Linked DNA regions of Canis lupus familiaris. The protein of the gene in region 1 purifies or fractionates together with the protein of each later gene. This does not show direct contact. Links are inferred from orthologs where the notes say so. Each region holds a gene or a part of one and is shown on either strand. Other genes may lie near its edges.

Region 1 (3,223 bases):
GAATGGTCTGCTCATAAAATCCAATCCTCCCTCTCTAGCATGCCTTCCCATAATGTGTACACTTTTTTGAAGGTGTCTTGCACACTGTAGATCTCTTGAAAGCAGGGATTAGGCTGAGTCATGGGTATCTTGAGGGCCTATCATAGTGCCTGGAACCAACCATCTGACACCTAGCGGACAAGTAGAGGAGTGCATCCGAAGTAAAGAAAAAGAAACATCATAGCGGAAGTGGTTGTATTCATTTGGCAATGGTGCTTCTACTGGGGTTGTGACTTATTTACACATTAGGTCATTTAGCTTCTCCCATGCAGAGGCCACATCCTCAATGAGGCAGTAAAGCTCCTTGAGAGCATGGCCCATGCTCCTGGGTGTAGGACTCTTGCCTGCTTGACCAGTGCTTCACACTGCTAGGCACTCAGAAAGAATGTGCTGATTTGAGAAAGGAAATCCACCTGACAAGTCAAAAAGCTCGGATTTTTAAATAGATTACAAAAGATATTTTGTTCCTCATGTCATTTCTTTCTTTCATGGTATGGGTAAACTTTGGTCTATTGGGGAAACTTCAAGTGCTTCAGATTCCTTCAGACTTCCTATCGCATATTTGGAATTGAATCCAGTGTTTAGTCATCATCTATATAGGGTCCAAGAAACTCTGGGATACTTTTTTTTTTTTTCTTAGAAAGAAGAATCAAGACCTGGCTTGAAAGCTTCGATTTCAGTTGCATCCATTTAAAGACAAAAATAGCCACCCGGTCTTAGCCGGATAAAAGGAAATGTCCCGAGGTGCACTGGCTGTGCACTGGCTCCAAGCTGGTTTTTAGTCATCTGCCTCGTCATCCCAGTGGCCATAGCCATCCCCTTCATCTGGCTCTTCAATATTCTCATTTTCAAAAGAGGCCTCTTCCTCCTCTTCCTCCCGGATTATCTTCATTAACTCAAGGAAGTTGGGAGGCGGGCCCTGATCCTTCAGCTCCCTCAGCCTGCACCAAAGGACTTCGCTAAGGCTGGCCCCTGCCATGACCTGCTCCAGCCGGACCTGATCTGCGATATTCCTGGGGATGGCTCGTTTCTCCACGGCCCGCCGGAGCAGGGTTTCTAACCGCAACAGGTAGGCTGAGACCTTCTCCCCCTCCTCCTGATAGGTCTTCAGGTACTTCACCTGGGAGGTCCTGCGGCTCTCAAGGCTTCCAAACACTTGCTTAAACGCCTCCAAACACTCTTCCACGCTTATGGCCGCATTGTCTGCTTGTACTATATGCATGAGGTCCAGGGCAGGGCCACGCAGGCTTTCCATCAACCACCTTTTCTTTTCTGCCTCTGCAACTGGCCACTCTTTGACGATCTCAGTGGCCTGTTCCAACCAGATTTCAAAGGGCTCTTCTTCCGGGGCAGGCACAGCGCTCCCTGAGAACACTCTCAGTTTCCGGTATCTCATGGGGAGCAGAGGCTGAGGGGCATGTGCCATCGCCTGTCCCAACAAATGAGCCAACAGCTCTGGTGATACGCAGGGCACTGTGGCTGGAGACATTCCCTCATGCCCGAGGGCTCGGAACATACCTGAGACCGTCTGCCCCTCTTTTTCCAGAAAGAGGTTCAGTCGTTCCAGAAACTCAGTGTCCTGGTTAGGGGTCTTAAAGATGACTTTCCAGATACCCCCCTTTCCCCGTACCTCACTGGGGATCACCGAGACGTCAACATCCTCCATAAGCTCCAACAAGACAGCATTGGCATTGTCCTGCTTCCTGAATATTTTGCCAAGCAGTCTATACCTGCCCAGAGACTTTAGGGTCTCCTGGAGAACCTCCTGAATCTCAGCCTCATCACAGTCCACCGGTATCCCCATAACCACCAGTGATTTCTGTTCATCCACGCTCATGATCCTGCACCAGTCCTCCAACAGCGCCAGCGCCATCGTCCAATTATCACTCACCCTAACTCTCTGGCCACCCAATAGTTTGTGGTGTGGCGAGGCACTGCCTTAGGACTCAGAGTATCCTGGGTGAGCTCCTGATTTTATTATACTCTACCAGCGACTGGGGCCTGGCCACTCCAACAGCAGTCCCAAAGGCTTCTGGACCAATAACCCTTACTTGCCCAGTGGCAAGAACTCAGCACTTCCAGTTATGTCTCTAGACCTGACCCAAGGCAGGTGGTTCCTATCAAGGTTATGACCTTGCCACTGCCTGTTGCTCTGCGGTCCAGTGGCTGCTGTGGCTCTCCCTGATGCCAGCAGCCACGTGGTGGTGTTGACCCTCCTCCGACTGCCCGAGGCACCTGCAAGGGCTGCTTTTGCCACTCTCCCAAGTCTTGGCTGCCTCGCTTCACCTCTCCTCTCGCACTAGTCACTGGGAGAGGCCTCCACTCTGGCACCCAGAACTCCTGGAGAGAAGTGTCACCGCAGGGGTGCTTGGACTCCTAGTGAAACAATGGCCAGTTTTACCACATAGCCCTTTCCTTCTGGGGGAGCATCGTGCTTTGGTTCATGATGGAAGTAGGGGTTCCATCTCACATTGGATTTGCACCTACCCCACTGTTAGACCTCTTCTTTGCATAGGGTGACTTTTTTTCTCTTGGGGACCCTCCTGCAATCTGGCTTCCCCACCATTTGCTCATTAGACATGCCAATTAATGTCTGAGCCCCAATTGTGGACAGGACTCAAGATGTTCCCCATGTTAAGAGCAAAATCAGGTGTGGCTAGATACCTGTTACGCGATCCAATTGTTCCGTGAGAGTCACGAGCTTATTTATTCAGCTTCTAGAAAAGGAAGATGTCACCCAACTCCACACAATGGTGTGTCTGGGTCTTTCTTAGCTCCAGCCAAGCCAAACTGCCCTGTTACACATAGATAATAAGAGTATATATTTATGGCTTGATAATATCCAGTGATGAGGACTGTTAATGCACTTATTAAAAAAAATGACAGTCTTTTACAACTTAGTTAAATCTACGAATCGATATCAAGTTGCTGCATTTCTTTAATTAAAAAAATCCAGTTAGAAATCACTCAAACATTTAAAACCAATATAGGTATAACAATTTAATTTACATACTACACTTTAATATAATATAGTATAATATAAAGTAATATAGGCATAATAATTTAGTATAGGTTTAACAATTTTTTAAAAAATTGGACCAAATAAATCAAACCTGGAATTACAAGTCAATTCCCTTTTGTTATGTCTGGGCAGGCTTTACAAATGCAATGTTTTGTTTTCTTT
Region 2 (4,282 bases), on another chromosome or scaffold:
AAGAAAGAACTTCCCATGTGATGGGAAAAAAACATTAAAAGTAAAATAGCAATTTGGGGTGTGTGTGTGTATGCGTGTAGCACTTAATACAATTCATTAAGGTGAGGATTACCAAAAATATATATTTTAAAAATATGCGGGTTAATGGAGGTTCAAAGATGTTCAGTGAATTGCCCTGGGGTCAAAGCATTAATTAAGGAACAACCACAAATAGAGAAGCCAGTCTTTTCATTCATAGTCCTAGGCTCTTTTCATAGATAGAGCTGTCTTTTATTAATATCAACTGATGCTTTCAAGTGGTTTAAAACAAATACTGCTTATAAATATCAAATGAAAGTCTCTGTCATATATGTCACTTGTTATACAATAATTTTATATTTAATCATCTTATTAAGATAGTCTTTTTAAAGGTATTCTCTAACCTAATTATAATATTGTCCCCCAAATCCTTGCATTTTAAAAATTGCATATAATGATGTATCCATATCAATTTATATTTATTAAACCCAGACAGGTAAGATGTTCTGGTCAAAAAATATCACTTTAAGAAAAATGAAAGAAAAAATAGATTTGGTGCATTTTAAAAAGCAGAATGTATTAACCATTCAAGTTGAGTGCAGATTACCTATAAATGACACTGTATTACTTCTGTAATATGAAATGGGAAATAGTCTCCCCCAACCACAGATGAGTAACAGTTCCTATTCCATATAAACACTTTACCATCTCCAAGTATAAAAAACTTAATACAATTAACTTAAATATTTCATCATCTTTCCTTGGTAGCCACTAACCAATAAACCTTCATAAGAAGTTGGCTAGAAAGAAAAACAATAATTAATGCCTACCTTACACAAGTATAGCTACATTAATTTAGTTTCTCCACATATTATGGAAATGGAAAGTTTTGCTGTTGCAATATATACGTCAATTTGCATGATCTTAAGTTAGAACTTCAGAAAAATAAACAATTTCACTAAAAAAAAAAACTAACCTGTCTACTTCATCTCGAGCCACAATGTCTCCTTTCTTTAAGGCTTTTATAGCAAACATCTCGTTTGTGTGTTTATATTCAGCCAAAAGCACCTGAAATGAGATTAAAATAAGTATTTTCTATTTGAGTTATTACTTTGTAGTCAGTCCAAGAAAATTTAAGAGATTACCTTTCCAAAATGTCCTCTACCCAAGACAGCACAACATCTGAAGTCTTGTAGATTAAACTGAAACATCTGTTGAGATCTGAAAACAGTATGTCAATTAAAAATAAGGTAAAACCATGGGTCACAACATGTAGTAACAAAGCTGTATATATATTCTTTACCTTCTATCCTCAAGTTCTCGAATACCACTGTATCCTAGGCCTGGTTGAGGAATATTAGGTTCATATTCAGATGGAGATTTCGGAAGTATACTATTTCTGTCATTCTCAATATCAAAAACAGTTTCTGAATCCTATAAAATATTACATACTTATTTAATTATAGAAATATTGAGAAATGAATTATTTGGTAAAGATAAAGTTTAAAAATGTCAAAAGCCAATACAAATATTAGCAAGAATGTAAAATTCAGAAAATGGATATTTATTCTTAGTTATTATTCTATATTACACTTATCTAAAATATTTGAAAAATGAACACATTACTGTCATCTTCAATGAATATTTAGAAATCATGTTAACCAAGTTACAAGATAGAGTTTTTGAAGCAATATATCATCTAATATCAACCATGGGGATCCCTGGGTGGCGCAGCGGTTTGGCGCCTGCCTTTGGCCCAGGGCACGATCCTGGAGACCCAGGATCGAATCCCACGTCGGGCTCCCGGTGCATGGAGCCTGCTTCTCCCTCTCTCCCTCTGCCTGTGTCTCTGCCTCTCTCTCTCTGTGACTATCATAAATAAAAAATAAAAAATAAAAAAATAAAAAAAAAATAATATCAACCATGTTCCTGTGATTTTAGCTTCAGCAGCCTATTCTATCTGTACTGGCCCATGAGCACCCAGAGGTTTTATGTTTCACTCACAAGAAACATAAAAACATAGTTCACGCAATTTTTTAATTAACGGAAAGGTACATCTCATTCAGTATGATGCTTTTATCAATAATTCATTTGGTAAAAGGAATTATACAAGGTTTAAAATGCCTTACCTGTGCTGGTGTATCTAAATCTCTTAATTTAGCAGATTCATCTATTTCTCCAAGGGAAGAATCCCGTGGTGGGGCCGGAGGAGGTTCAGGTTCGAGATCAAAGTCCAACTTGGTTACTGTAGAATCACTTACAAAAGATAAAGTAATTCACCAAAAACAGTAATCAAAAGTATATATTCTAAATAGCTTTGAAAGTAAAGCAAACAATTTTATCTTTTACATTTTTTTAAAGTAAGCAGAACATTAATTTCAAAATACTACTTGGAAAAAAATCAGACTTTTAATAGACTCATTGTCATCAGTATATATGAATGTTACAATAACTATTTCATAAGAACGATGCCTAAAAATCTTAGACACATACCTAGCTGGAGGTGCTAGTTCAGGGATGCGTACATCAACCACTGGCACTGTAGTAGGCACAGGAGCTTGAGGGCTGAAGGTGCCAGAATGATTTACTGTAGGAATAGCTCTTCTTACTAGCCTTCCCCAAGTGGCAATATTAATATTCATTTGAGGAGCTCTGAGAAATGTTTTGCCTGTGGATATTGTGAATAAAGAAAATAGAATAAGTAATTTTTATATGTTACCAAAAGCCATAATTTAAAAATCCATATTCATTGGTTTATAATTTATGAAGAACAAATAAAATTTGTCACTTAAAAAAATAGTTCTTAACTATTTGTTATTAAAGGCTAGTGCAAAATAGTGAATATAGTTTTAAAAATAAATAAGTAGGCACTGTTACTTTTTTTAAGTCTAACAATGATATGCGGCTAAAGTTTAAGAAATAATTCTCTTAAAAAAAAAAAAAAAGAATGGGGCACCTAGGTGGTTCAATAGGTTGAGCATCTGCTTTCAGCTTGGGTCATGATCTCCGGGGTCCTGGGATCAAGCCCCACATGGGGCATCCTGCTCAGTGGGGACTCTGCTTCTTCCTCTCCCTTTGCCTCTCCCCTACCTCATGCACTCTCACATGCTCTGTCTCAAATAAAGAAATAAAATCTTAAAAAAAAAAAGTTAGAGATACTAACTTTAATACTTATGGATTAACCAGTATATGGATTAACCAGTATAACCAGTATACACGTCTGCTTCATGTAATCTGAGGTATATATGGATGGGATATAGATAAAATCAGCCATGAGCTGTTGTTGAGGCTAAGTGATGGTACATGGTACTAATCTCTCTACTTTTGGGTATGTTTGAAATGTTCCTTAATAAAAAAAGTTAGAAACGAATAAATAAAAGGAAAACAAAAAAACAAAGATGGGTATCACTTTTAAATGCAGATTTCCTATGTATAAGAATACACTAAAAGACACTGTATTTGATTCCTTAGTAACTACCTTGTTGTTTTGAAAAAATTTTCTTTTGTCTTTGGAGTTTGGGTCTTCTTTCAATAACTGGATTAAAAAAGGTAACCTGCAGGGAAGAAAATTCAATTTGACATGAGTATAGCTTTGGATTTATGGTTCATGAAATTTGGAAACTTAAGATATAGATATAATTTAAGCCCAACTTCTCATTTTCTAGGTGAGAAAACAGACCTATAGAGGATAAATGATTTGTCTTAAGGTAATACCTATGCAGTAGTGGAACTGGGCCAAGAATTCAAGTTGTCTGTTGTTCAGCCTAATACTCTTTCCATTCTACATCATGCTGCCTACATATATAATTTCAATTATAGTAATGCATATTTAATAAAATACATTTATTACCTCTGCAAATAAAGTACCCTGTGGTTCCAAATAGAGACACATGCCATGCCGTTGGTTGTCTAAAAAATCTTCTAACCTCAGAAATTTTACAGCACACAGAGATCGCCAATCACGCCAATAAACTGAAATTTCCAGTTCACGTGACTAGGATAATTAAAAAAAAAAAAATAAAGAAAACAGAAGACATCATTGGACACACACTTGAATAAAAGATCACAAAAAATATAAAATACAAATACAATAAACAAAGATAACACACACAAAAGTCACACTATTTTAAAGAGTGCTTTGTAATGTTTCTCTACTATATATTAATAAACTTATATATTTTAACTCTAAGGAAGAAATTTACATTCCAACAGTCTCCAGCTAAGATATTCCTTTTTTATAAAGTATACACAACTAGGAACAACC
Region 3 (3,707 bases), on another chromosome or scaffold:
TTAGTGTTCTAATGGGCGATGGGAACTGAAGTACTACAAAACTTTGCACTCTTCTTTAAGAAAAAAAAAATTTAACATCTCCAAATCTAAAATACTGCCTTTTAACAAAGAGTAATTAAATTGCCTTCAGGAATTGACATTCAATGTTTGTTTTTGAAAAATAAACTAGTAGAAAAACATGAAGATATCTGAATACCAATTTAAGTTTTTATATTTTTTACCGGTTATATTAGATAGTGGCTGAACAAATCAGCTTAAGAACACAGTGATTAGTGTACAAGAAAAAAAGCTTCAGTGAAATCTAAACCCTCATTTAAGGGTGGTTGACAGCTATTTACTTAATAGTAAATTCTCAGTAGTATGAACTGTCTTCTATTAAGAGAAATGGAGCATATTACACGTTGACAATAAAGTGGCTTTTCAAAAACCAATCTCAAAAAAAAAAAAAAAAAAAAAGAATTCCACCTCACATAGAAAGGGAACACTATCTTTTAAGGCCCCAAATATCAAGAAATAAATATTTACTTAAAATTTAATTTCTCCCCCATGGATAGAACCTATGTATAAGACTTTTTCTAAGAATCATGAAAGGATTCATCTGAAGAGCAAGTGTAAAATATTAGAAATCAATGGCTTGACAAAAGGAAGTTATACTGCTACTCAGTGCTTTCCAAAACGTGCCCTTAGATATGACTCCTGATAAACTGAAATCATAAATGTGGTGGTAAAGAGGGAAATACACATAAATAAAGCATTTTAAAATGATTCTCTCCCTCGTTTAAGAAAATTCTTCTTACGTACCTGAAATTTGAGTAAAATGATAAAAGTTTGGTGTAAATTTTAAAGCTGAACTTATAACAAGAAGCTAAAAAGAAGCCACAGAATGAAGTTAGTCAACAGCTGTAATAAAATCAACACCACTTACATACACCATCAGAAGGCCTGAATAATATTCATGTTTACCCCCAACACTTGTTAAGAAAAGAAAAACCCAAAGGAATTTGTATAATAATTTCTTTAGAGCACTTTATTTGATTCAATATGCACTAAAAAATATTTACCTTAGACAATTATGTCAAATAATTTTTACTGAGTAGTCTACTGTCCGAACTGCAGAAGCTGAAGTTTTAAAAAGGCAAACGATTTGCCACAAATCTGCTGACGTCTGAAAAATATCTAATGGCAAGTCTTCTATTTTGGTCACTTTATATTTTAAGGTGTCCATACAAAAGTAGGACTAAATTTTTTTTAATCCAACAAAAGAGAAGCCTGTACACAGTCTAGAACACACATCTTGGATCTGAGCATCACAAATGAAGAGAAGAAAAATGAAACCAAGCCAAGGTGGTTTACCTGTCTCAGGGGCTGAACTCAGGGTAGTAAAGGTGGGTTTACTCCAGTAACCATTCAAGTGGGGATTGGCTCATTTTCAGGATTTACTTACAGGCCTCTTCTAAGTCCGTTAAGCCCCCAGTCCATGCAAATGTCCCACTTGGTGGACAGATGAGTAATCTAACCCCACCGGGTTTATTTTAATAGTTTTGATATTTAATAATAAGCTGCTTCTGAAGATTTTCTGAGAAGTCTGTTCTCTATTAAAATAAGATAGAACCTCAAAATATGAATGTGAACATTAGAAATAGACAGCATATATTACAAATCCATTCTTGATAGGAACATTAGTAAGAATACACATTAGCTTAAAAAACAGGCTCAGCAAATGTTGCTGATCTGCCAGAAGTTTTAGTTCACTATTTACAAATAAGACAAAGTGAAATACAGAAAATTTTACACATTTGGTAGTTGACAGATTATTGTTTGCCAATAGTGGTCTATCAGAAAACTGATATGAAGGAAGACTGGATAAGAGCCAGTGGTCACCTTCTCAATCAAATTTAAATGTACAGAAAACTAGATTAATTTTGAAACAAACATTCTGCCTTTGATGGGAGTAACTTTATGATTAAATGATCTGACTGGGAAGTGCGATTCCATGGAAGTGTTTCTCTGGAAATGACTACTATATGATCTGCCACTGAAAAGTTACCATATTTATTTCAGCAGACCATTAAAATTGATTAAATGATGATCAATGATGTTTCCTAGACTCCAGGTATAAATAGAAAATAAAACTACTGTTGAGTTCTTTAAACCAATATAAAAACTAAGGTCCAACAGCATCAAAGGGAGAAAAAATATAATGGCATGATTCAATGCACATCTGCATTGACATCAAAGCGGAATCTGAGCAACTTTGATTTTACCTAGAAAAAAAACTGGTATGTATGTGTGTGGAAGGGGAGGCATGGAAGTCGTTTTTAATAGCTGTGCACTCTTGTCCAAGAGACAATTTATCAAACGACATGACCTTCAAGTATTTACTTGTACACCAGCATCCTGCAGCAATCAATACCACATGATCACCAACATCTGCCATTCTAAAGAACCATCCTTTTTAGTAACAGAAATCTTCAAATCATTTCACTTTTACTTTTCGTTTTTTACTTTTAAAGTTGCAAATAGAGTTCTCTCCCCCTTTCTTCGCAAGAAGTGACTTCTGTCCATTACTTCAATCTAATACTGTGTAAAAGCTATCAGCTTCGTCAAGGAGGTGCCCATTGCAGGCAGGATATTCCAGCAACACTTAAATAAAAAGTTTTCTTTTCTCTCTCTTTCTCTTTTTAAAACAATTATTTAAGTTCATGTCATTTTACTTTATATGTACTGGTCTCTCATCTGACTTTAGGCGTTTTCTGCGGGGCTGTATAAAGTCTTCGTCAGAGTCCTCAGTTACCTCACCATCATCCTCTTCCTGCTCAAACTCTGGCAAAGGTGCGAAGGTCCTGTCTGAGTAGATCTCTGTGAGTTTATCTTCAAAGTACAATGCAACTGCTTTCCCTGCCTGAGCTACTTCTGAATCAGCCTGCAAGCAAAAGATAGGAATATTCACCTATTGGTAATGCATATTCCTTCACCAAGTTTGCATGGTCTGAAAAGCTTACCTTCAAATTAATCTCTTGTGTTTCTGCATAAACTTGAACAACTTTCATCATCTAAAAAGGATACCAGAGTCAAAAAAAAAAAAAGGGAAATTATAATCCTTTCTAAAGTTATGAAACTGCATAGGATTGGTGACGAAAGTCAGCCATATTAGGGGGAACAAATTGCTATAACCAGATCAAGTGCTTTCTAAAATTCTATGGAACATGGAACTACTTTCTTTACAACGTTCTGTTGCTAAAGCTACTGTGAAACCTCAAGAATGGTTTCAAATTCTGAATTAGTAAAGTCAATCTGAAATGGAGGTCAAGTGAATACATCAATCTAATTAAGACCAAAAAATAAATCATTTAAGAAATGTTGCTTTTTTAAAAACTACCAAACCATCAACAAACCACTTATCAGAATTCTATCTGTATGGCAATTTGTTAACCATAAACTATTTAACTATCACTAACGCAGATAAAATGTGTCTTCCTTGCAAATGTTAGCTACAATTCACAAAAGCACATTTATTTGAAAATAATCTAATTGGATTACAAAATATGACAAAAAACTTAGGACTGTATCAATTTAACTTCAAGTAAGTAAGGTTTTACTATACTCTCTGTGGTATACTACTACACTATACATTTAACCTATAAAGATTATTTTTTTCCCCAAATTTTAAAAAGATCACCTAGATGCTTGCAGAGGTAGCTATGAGT
Region 4 (4,398 bases), on another chromosome or scaffold:
GGGCGCCAGCAGCTTGTTCCCGCTCTTCCTGCTGGACCACGGCATCTCCACCCCAGAGCTGGGGCTGTGGAACGGTGTGGGCGCTGTGCTGTGCTCCATTGTGGGCTCATCCCTGGGCGGGGCCCTGCTGTCCTGGCACTGGTGAGCCTGCCCCAGTGAGCCCGCCCCGGCCCCCTGCCCCCACCCTGCCCCTGCTCCCTGACCTGCCCGTGTGCCCCTCAGGCAACCTCTGCCCCTGCTGAGGTCATTGCTCCGGTTCCGTCTTGGCGGCCTGGCCTGCCAGACCGCCCTGCTCTTCCACCTGGACGGCCCAGGGCTCAGGCTGGGCCCCAGCGCAGCCCTGAGAGGTGAGGGGCTGGCCGCGGGAGGGGAGGAGCGTGGCGCCCTGGGCCCCGCTGACGGTGGCCCTCCCAGGGGCAGCCCTGCTGAGCCTGTGTCTGCAGCACTTGCTGGGGGGCCTGGTTACCACCACCACGTTCACCCTGATGATGCGCTGCAGCCAGCTGACACCCAGTGCCCTGCAGGTGAGAGAGGGCATGGCTGGGGCGTCCAGGGGGCTGCGGGGCTGGACCCAGGCAAACCCTCACCTGATCGCACACCTCATCCCCCCCCACCCCTGCAGGCCACGCACTACAGCCTCCTGGCCACTCTGGAGCTGCTGGGAAAGCTGTTTCTGGGCACGCTGGCCGGAGCCCTGGCTGACAGCCTGGGGCTGCATCTCTGCTTCTCCCTCTTCCTCGCCCTCTCAGGCTTGCCCATTCTGTATCTGAGCCTGGCTCCCAGCACCCTGGCCTGAGCTGGGTGGCCAGCCTGCCTAATAAAGCTGAGCGTGCGCCTAGCTGCCTGGGCTGCATGACGGCCAGGGCTGTCCCAACACCGTAGGGGCCGCCTGTTCAGAAAAGAGGGCTCCTAAGAGTGGCTTGAGCATTTTTTATTCTGCATTTTGGGGCATCCTTGCTCCCACACTTCTGGTGGTGGGCCTTGCCCAGGGTCATCAGTCACTGTCGTGGACATCTGTGCCCTTTTCCCCTGACAAAGTCCACACCGGGCTCCCTGCACACTGGCCACGCAGCCCCCAGCGCGTGCCTGTCGTGACACGAGGGAGCAGGGCCCGCCCCAGCAGGGTGGTCAGGGGCCGCACCGCAGGATCTCCTCTGTGGCTATGCGCATCAGGGCCTGGAAGCTGAGGTGCAGGAATCTCCTCCAGAAGCGCCGGTCCCGCCCGTACACCTGTGCCGGGTAGCGGGGGCTTCCTGTGGTGGGAAGGGGTCGCGGCCCTGAGGACTCTGGGCCAGGCCTGGCTCCTAGCCCCACACCTAGCCCCTGCCCGGTCCGAGCCCAGCCTCCCGGGCCCTCACCGATGCCGTGGAAGATACGGGCCACGGCCCTGCCTGAGAACTGCTGGTCTGGCCATGAGGACAGCAGGCGGTGGACGTCCTGGCGAACCTGGTCCTCCCAGTCCTGGATCTATGGGTGGTGGCAGTGGAGCGTGTGAATGTGTGCGCACCCATGCGTGCCCGTGGCCTCCCAACCCTGCTGCGGGCTTGTATTCTCTCCACAATCCCAAGAGGGACTAGCACCCACCTTCTCCTGTCCGGGCTCCAGGCCCTGCTCATCTTCCGAGCCCCCTGGACCCTCCTCCTCCTCCTCCTCGAAGTAGCCGCTGAGTAAAGCCTTGAGCCTGGTGCTGCGTTCCTCATCAGGCTGCTCCAAGCAGGGCCCGCAGCTGGGGAAGGCCACGCTGTGGAGCAGGGTTCCGTTAGAGCGGCTCACTACGCCTGCCCCAGCCCCCGCCCACCCCTCCCCTACCTGAGAAAGGCCTGGAAGGTGCGGCGCAGGCGGGCCAGGGCCTCCTGCTCTCGGGCCTGTATGTGTCCATACAGGAAGTCACAGATCTGGTCCCTCTCATGGGCAGTCAGGTCCCCAGGACTGTGCACACAGAAGGCGAGCTCCCCGAACTCCACCTGCACCCCCGTGCCCCCATGTGCACCTGCCAGAGAGCTCATTAGACACGGGCAAGCAGGTGGCACGCAGGCCTGGGGGCTGGGCAGGGCTGTGGGCTGGGCTGGGGGCAGGGCGCACCTGTCCTGGGCTTCGGGTCCCACTGCAGCTGACGGAGAGCCTGCCGCACGCGGCCCAGCTTCCAGCCCAGCGAGTCAGCCAGGTTAAAGACGTCAAACTCTACAGAAGAGCTTCCCCCATCTGTGGTATCCGCTGGCTGCTGGGCCAGACACACAGCCAGCAGGGGGCACCTGGGCCAGGGGGAGGGACATATGATTAGCAGTTCCAGTCCTGTGTCCCGGGCCCCAGCCGGGGGTGGGACACGTGCTCACCTGCGGGCCAGGGCCTGGAGCTGGGTGGGGCCCCCAGGGCAGTGCAGGCGGCACTGGGCATAGGTGGGTGGCAGCAGCTGCAGCCAGCGCTGCGGGTGTAGCTCCAGGTAGCACAGCAGGGTCTCGATGGCTGCAGGCAGAGCAGGGCTCAGGGGCCGTGGGGACGTGGGGACATGGGCATGAGGGGGGTGCCCACCCCTGCCCCCAGGTCCTCACCCTCCTCAGGCATGTCCAGGGCTTCCACCAGTGCCTGCATGGGCAGTGCCCGCGTGTGGCCTGGGCACCGGGCTGTGCCTTTGCTGTTGGGTTGCTCGGCCTCCGTCGGGGATGGGGCCACAGGCTGCTCTTGACTCCTGGCTCCCTCCTGCTCCGAAGGCCGTGGGGCATGGGTGCAGGTGCAGGGCGGGAATGCGCGCTGGACCAGCTTCTTCATAGTGAGAAAGTCCGTGGCATCAGCGTGCACGTGTCTGCGCAACTCCTGCAGGTCCTGGCTCTGCAAGAGAACGGCCGTGGACACGTGGCTATGGGGTGGGGCGGAGTGGGGTGGGCTGGGCTGGGTGGAGCTTGAGTGGGGCAGGTGAGAACCTGGGGCTGCAGGAAGAGGTGGCAGTGTGCAGGCTGGCCGTCACGTCCGGCCCGGCCCACAGCCTGCACGTAGCTCTCGAAGCTGGCAGGCAGCCCCAGGTGCAACACAGCCCGCACGTCTGGCCGGTCCAGCCCCATCCCGAAAGCCACCGTGGCCACCACCACCCGCAGCCGGCCCTCCATGAAGGCCTGTTGCACGCGCTGCCGCTCCCGCGGACACATGCCGGCGTGGTAGGCCTCGGCGACAGCCTCGGACTGGCCTGCGGGGGAAGACACAGGTGGTTGGCTGGGATGTGGGGGGGGGTGGGCGGGCGGGTGCAGGGCACAGTCCTGCTGACCTCACCTCCAGGCCTGAGGTCCCAGGCCTCACGCAGGCAGGTGCGGAGCAGCGCAGCAACTCGCTCTGTGTCCCCGCGTCTGTGGCAGTAGACGATGACTGAGCTCAGAGCGCGAAAGCGATCACTCTGCAGCAGCGTCACCAAAGCCTAGTGGGGGACAGTGCTCAGGAAGGGGTCATCACAAGGCAGTGCCCCTACCTGGCCCAGGGTGCTCATCTACCTGGTCTGGGTCCCTGTCCCTGGACACAGAGAGGTGCAGGTTGCTGGGGACGGTGGCTGGCCCCCTGAGGACCAGATCCTCGGCCACACCTAGATGCCGGGCCACATCTCTTGCGGTGCTGCGTGTGGCCGTGGCTGTGAGACCCAGGAAGCAGCGCACGCCCATGTGTTCCCGCAGCACCTGTGTGGGAGCAGTGCCTGTGAAGGGACCCAACCCCCCTCCCTGGCCTGCCCGTGCGCACCTCTGAGGCTCACCTTGCAGACACGCAGGTAGCAGGGCCGGAAGTTGTGGGACCACTGGGAAATGCAATGGGCCTCATCGATGCAGGCGAAGGCGACCGGAGGCAGCTGAGGGAGGTGGCCAGGCATCCCCGCCCCAGCCCCCACCAGCGTCTCGGGTGACAGCACCAGCAGCTGCACCTGGGCCGCGTGAACCTGAAGACGCAAGGTCAGGCGTGTCACCGAGGGCCGGCTGCCCCCCTGCCTGTCCTGCCACGTGAGGCCCCTCACCTTCTGCAGGGCCGACTCGCGCTGCTTCTGGCTCATGCCCGAGTGGATGCAGACCCCCTTCAGGCACGGGGGTAAGCTGGACACCTGTGGGTACAGGGTGACAACCGGATGGCCCTTCCTCACAGGCCCCTCATCTGCTCAGCCTGACAGCTGCTGCCCTCGGCCTTGGGTGCCCCAGGAACAAAAAGCTCAGGTCACGGACCCCATGACTACAGACTCAGGGCCATCGGGGAGCCTTAGTTCAGGAGCCCCGGGAGCAGACGGGCTGCCCCCTCCCCAGGGTCGTTCTCCCTGGGGGAATCCCGCCTGAGCAGCCGTGTCCCAGCTGCCCTCGGGCCACTGCCAGGCCTTGACGCAGCTCTGCGTAGCTCCGGTCGGGCAACAAGCAGCAGCCCCAAAGGATCAGAGGACCC
Region 5 (4,282 bases), on another chromosome or scaffold:
CCCCTAATTATGATCCTGGCATGTTTCCAGGTACTGGAAATACAGAGTCAACAAAAACAATGTCTGCCTTCATGAAGCTTACATTCTAATGGGGAAGATAGACAATAACAAGTAAACATGTAATATGTCAGAAGGAGAACAGCTATGAAAAAAAAAAAGGGTAAGAAAAGGTAGAGCCTTGAATAGTGCTTGGCAGATGGTAGGCATTCAAAATAATTATTTGTAAGTGAATGAAAATAATAAAGTCTGAGGCTAATACCCTTTTTTGCTCTTTTCAGGTTCATCGCCATCATCTTGGTTTATGCTGGCCAATTCCAGATACTTACATGAATTCAAAACCAGTTGTTATCAACATGAATCTGAACAAGTATGACCATGCCTTTGATACTAAATGTTTGTTTAATCTTTTTTCAAAAATAGATAATCAGAAATTTGGTAGACTCAAAGATATAATACTTGATGTATAAACTAGAAATCCAGTTAAAAATCAGCTTTATTATATTGGAATCTTGAATATTCTGCTATATGTGGAAGGTTTTACATCTCAGAATTCTGTGTTGAAGAGAGCAATATGTCGTCTAGCATTTGAAGAAACGAATTTCCCAGTTGCAAATTTTATTCAGAATTTTATTCAGAACTAGCAAATGAATTTTAACCACAAGACTTAAAAAATGTAATGGTAAGCTCCCCTGCCTGGTACAAAGTTAAAGACTGCAACTAAACCAACAATTCTGGATCATTAATACTTAACATATGGCTATAACCTCATAACATGTTTATATACATGTAAATATATATAAAACTAGATTCTTAACACACATATAAATAAGTATGTATAAAACCCCAATTTTAAATGTTAAAATTAAAATCACCCTATACTCTTTAAAAAACTTAAACATGAATATATACAGAAATTCATCATAGCTCATTTGATAGTCATAACTTACTCTAAAAGTCTTAAAAATATACTTTTCTAGTATGTTTAAAATTTTATATAATTTTATTTACTAAGACTTCAATTTAATAAAGGTACAGGTATGAAGAAAGAAATCATGTAGGTCAGAGACCTGCTTGATTTCCAGATGGAGTTTTAACTTATAAAGTTAATAAATAGTTCAATAAAACTGTAGTTATAGGTAGTCCTTAATAAATGGGGAGATTAGGAGGACTTTCTCCTTCATCTTCAAACTGTTCAGAAGCAGCAATAGGACTAGTTAATTCAACTCCACATTGTTCAGAAAGTTTTCTTAACTTCTCTTCTAAGAGAATATTCTTTTTCACTTCTTCTTTATAATTATACTTCAGATCTTCAATTTCTTCAAAAAATGAAGGATCAAAGTTTTCCAGTTCTTTTTTCAGCTTTTTTATTTCCTCCTAATAGAAACATGATATTTTTGAAAGGTATGTAGGAATATAATACATTCTTTAGATTTAAATTAAAGAAACTTAAATATAAACATAAAATCCAAAGTAACCTGAATAATCAGATATATGCTATACAGGCAGAAGTATTTTCTTAGAATTCTATTAATAAGGTTTCACTGTACAGCATAAGTAACTTGTTAGCTGGCAAATCAAATTATCTATTCTGTAAATTATGCCCTAGTTTTTGACTAAAACTTATTTCTTAAATTAGTGTGTGTGTGTGCATGTGGGGGGGTGTAAACTAGTGGTGGCAACATTTAAGCTTTCTCTAAAAGTATATTAGATACTCTCATTGGGGCAATCAGAAAGACTTGGCTGTTCACAACACAAGTTATTTTGGTTAAGAGTCTTTGGTTTAGGCTTCATTTATATTTTCTTTACAAATACCTATTTTTTTTTAATGAATAACATTTAACTTATAAATATATTTAGAATTTGGGAAACTCTGGGACCTCTACCTGACTAAGAGAAATGTGTAAAGAGAGAATATGAACTTCAGAATAGCTAGTGATCACTAGTTAATTCTTTAGTTTATGCTGTTTTGTTCTGTTTATAGATTCTTTTTTTTTTTTTTTTTTTTTTTTTTTTTTTTTTTTTTTTTAAATTTATTTATTTATGATAGTCACACACAGAGAGAGAGAGGCAGAGACACAGGCAGAGGGAGAAGCAGGCTCCATGCACCGGGAGCCCGACATGGGATTCGATCCCGGGTCTCCAGGATCGCGCCCTGGGCCAAAGGCAGGCGCCAAACCGCTGCGCCACCCAGGGATCCCTGTTTATAGATTCTTTAAGAGATAAAGCATGGCAAATATTTTTCTTTAATAAAAAAGGAGCTCTTCCTGAAAAGAATTTCAAAAGGAAATAAAAGACACTGTTCCCAATGTGGCCCAAAACTTAAGAGTAAAATAATGAGCTATGCTTGTGAGAATTAAAAAATAAATTTCTCTTTAATCCTATTTGTTTTATCTCAGTTTTTTTGTAGCTCTCGTTTAGTATTTTTAACACAGGTGACTATAATGAACTCTGCAATATCAAGGTCAAACATAAGTGTATCACATAACCCCAGTAATTTTTAGGATATATACTTAAAGATAGTCATAAAAGTTGTTTTTAACAGCGGTTTTCACAAAACATAATATAGTTAGATAAAATTACCTTCAAATGCTGCTTTTCTAAATCTGAGGTTTTGAGCTGTGTCTCTAAATCTTTTACTTTTTCCTTTAGTTGATCAGGATCTGCCAAAAAAGTTTTAAAAGTCAGATTCCATTTTTCCCCACTCTGACAAAGGATTTCTTTTAGAGAATAAATAGAAAACTAAACCACGGCCTAGAAAATAGGGCATTTTATGGCTGAAAAACTTTCCAGGCTGTGAATACTGTAATGCTACCTTTTACAGTATTGTAATTCCATAGCAGACCAAGAGAAAAACCATCTGCTGGGTATTAGATGGGTAGAATCAGGGTAATTTTTCTAACCTAGAAGAAATTATTTTCCAGAGAAAAATTCTGATCTGAGCCAGGAAAAATTGTTAGGTACTAAAAGGACAACAAAATAAGTAGACTGTTAGGTAAGGGTCTACAGCCACAGCTGGCCAAATGCTCCTGGTACCCAGCAGTATTGACTATTCCATGAAGTTAGTCCACATTTACTGTGTAATTACTACACGAAAAATATGCCAGTCAGGATGGATAAAACAAAGAGAAATAAATCCTAATGCTATGGTCGGAAAATGTTAAGTACAGTACAAGAGCCTTAATTTCTTGGATCCTTAACCACTCCCCTCACCTGGAGTTAACATCTCTAAATTTATAATGAGAATCAGTGGACAAATGGAACGTTTTATTTCATTGTCATCTTTGCTAGAAACATTTTCTTTAAATTAAACATAACATCTAGTATGTCATGTCATTTTGCAGCCACTGAAGTGTAAAATTTTAAAAGTAATGCTAAACTTTGAGAAATTAATGGTCAGCAAGACACATTTTCATGAATGAGACAGGAAGGTTGGTACTCTATTACAGTTCCCTTGGAATGGTCCCCTAATTATGAGCTGGAGACAAGAAATATTTTCCTCATCCTTTTCTTTGGGAATAGTCAACAGAACTCATCTTCCTTTGGAAAGCAGAGCAAAATGATACTTTTCAAAACTTCTCTCACCTTTGTAGAAAGTACTCGCTATTTTTTATAAAGTCGGTTCTTAATCACCGGAATGCTGTATTGAGTTGATTGTCTTAAAGGGGTGCTATACGTTACACAGCTTAAGAACGTAAAAGTAAAAGTAGTGCAGTAAAAGTAATTACTACGTACAGCACTTTCTGGAGTTTGCTTAAGGTATTGGATTGCATGATTGAAATGGCAAATTCCATACCAAAGAATTATTCCAATTTATACCTGAGCAACCTTTGACTATTTCAAACAGCTTTTTCAATATTCTACTGTACAGTCTTGTTGATACTTTGTATTTAAATAGTGCTTTAGAATTGCCAAGACCATTTCCGTTTGATTTTGAACCTTAGCAATCTTTGAAATATGTTAGGTATCCTTGTGTCCTGTAAATAGATGAGGAATATAAGGTTCTGAAATTCCCTCTCAGGAAACTTAGGTTTAGAGAGACCTTGCCAAACGTCATAGCATCAGAAGGTCTTTGGGGGTGTGCTAGTCTGGTACCCTAAGCTGGCTACTAAAAGAGATACTGTTGAGAGAGATTTACATGACTGTTCTAGTTACCAAAAGGTAGATAAGGCAGTTTGCATGGTCAAAAACAGGGAATGGTGAGGGGCTTTGGAGTTCCATAGATTTAGGTTTCATCCTGCCTGTCAATGCCTAGCTGTTGTGACCTCGTTGCTTAACTTTAAGG

The links.
Region 2: the proteins of PNMA2 (region 1) and PKN2 purify together in Homo sapiens (affinity purification with mass spectrometry; 3 studies listed by BioGRID and IntAct, with this or other methods). This does not show direct contact. The link is inferred for Canis lupus familiaris from reciprocal best matches to the Homo sapiens genes PNMA2 and PKN2.
Region 3: the proteins of PNMA2 (region 1) and TRIM33 purify together in Homo sapiens (affinity purification with mass spectrometry; 3 studies listed by BioGRID and IntAct, with this or other methods). This does not show direct contact. The link is inferred for Canis lupus familiaris from reciprocal best matches to the Homo sapiens genes PNMA2 and TRIM33.
Region 4: the proteins of PNMA2 (region 1) and RECQL4 purify together in Homo sapiens (affinity purification with mass spectrometry; 3 studies listed by BioGRID and IntAct, with this or other methods). This does not show direct contact. The link is inferred for Canis lupus familiaris from reciprocal best matches to the Homo sapiens genes PNMA2 and RECQL4.
Region 5: the proteins of PNMA2 (region 1) and CEP290 purify together in Homo sapiens (co-immunoprecipitation; 3 studies listed by BioGRID and IntAct, with this or other methods). This does not show direct contact. The link is inferred for Canis lupus familiaris from reciprocal best matches to the Homo sapiens genes PNMA2 and CEP290.

What each region holds. Positions count from the first base shown.
Region 1 is NC_049246.1:31,213,089-31,216,311, reverse strand, and holds part of PNMA2 (paraneoplastic antigen Ma2), read right to left. Parts: intron 2,835-3,223; 5' UTR 2,704-2,834; intron 2,416-2,703; 5' UTR 1,913-2,415; coding exon 818-1,912; 3' UTR 1-817.
Region 2 is NC_049227.1:60,092,124-60,096,405, forward strand, and holds part of PKN2 (serine/threonine-protein kinase N2), read right to left. Parts: intron 4,013-4,282; coding exon 3,869-4,012; intron 3,573-3,868; coding exon 3,497-3,572; intron 2,687-3,496; coding exon 2,512-2,686; intron 2,275-2,511; coding exon 2,148-2,274; intron 1,453-2,147; coding exon 1,322-1,452; intron 1,240-1,321; coding exon 1,164-1,239; intron 1,087-1,163; coding exon 995-1,086; intron 1-994. UniProt on the Homo sapiens protein: PKC-related serine/threonine-protein kinase and Rho/Rac effector protein that participates in specific signal transduction responses in the cell.
Region 3 is NC_049238.1:52,642,538-52,646,244, forward strand, and holds the end of TRIM33 (E3 ubiquitin-protein ligase TRIM33), read right to left. Parts: intron 3,054-3,707; coding exon 3,003-3,053; intron 2,924-3,002; coding exon 2,711-2,923; 3' UTR 1,001-2,710; downstream 1-1,000. UniProt on the Homo sapiens protein: Acts as an E3 ubiquitin-protein ligase. Promotes SMAD4 ubiquitination, nuclear exclusion and degradation via the ubiquitin proteasome pathway. According to PubMed:16751102, does not promote a decrease in the level of endogenous SMAD4.
Region 4 is NC_049234.1:38,680,347-38,684,744, forward strand, and holds the end of RECQL4 (ATP-dependent DNA helicase Q4), read right to left. Parts: intron 4,070-4,398; coding exon 3,731-4,069; intron 3,657-3,730; coding exon 3,477-3,656; intron 3,404-3,476; coding exon 3,262-3,403; intron 3,179-3,261; coding exon 2,919-3,178; intron 2,827-2,918; coding exon 2,550-2,826; intron 2,464-2,549; coding exon 2,334-2,463; intron 2,253-2,333; coding exon 2,083-2,252; intron 1,991-2,082; coding exon 1,810-1,990; intron 1,742-1,809; coding exon 1,585-1,741; intron 1,468-1,584; coding exon 1,359-1,467; intron 1,254-1,358; coding exon 1,129-1,253; 3' UTR 916-1,128; downstream 1-915. Other genes in the region: MFSD3 (major facilitator superfamily domain-containing protein 3), read left to right, coding at 1-141, 223-347, 415-524, 623-796. UniProt on the Homo sapiens protein: An ATP-dependent DNA helicase which unwinds dsDNA with a 3'-overhang in a 3'-5' direction. Does not unwind more than 18 bp of dsDNA. May modulate chromosome segregation. The N-terminal domain (residues 1-54) binds DNA Y-shaped DNA better than ss- or dsDNA.
Region 5 is NC_049236.1:29,492,385-29,496,666, forward strand, and holds the end of CEP290 (centrosomal protein of 290 kDa), read right to left. Parts: intron 2,661-4,282; coding exon 2,581-2,660; intron 1,375-2,580; coding exon 1,144-1,374; 3' UTR 607-1,143; downstream 1-606. Other genes in the region: C15H12orf29 (uncharacterized protein C12orf29 homolog), read left to right, coding at 279-367. UniProt on the Homo sapiens protein: Involved in early and late steps in cilia formation. Its association with CCP110 is required for inhibition of primary cilia formation by CCP110.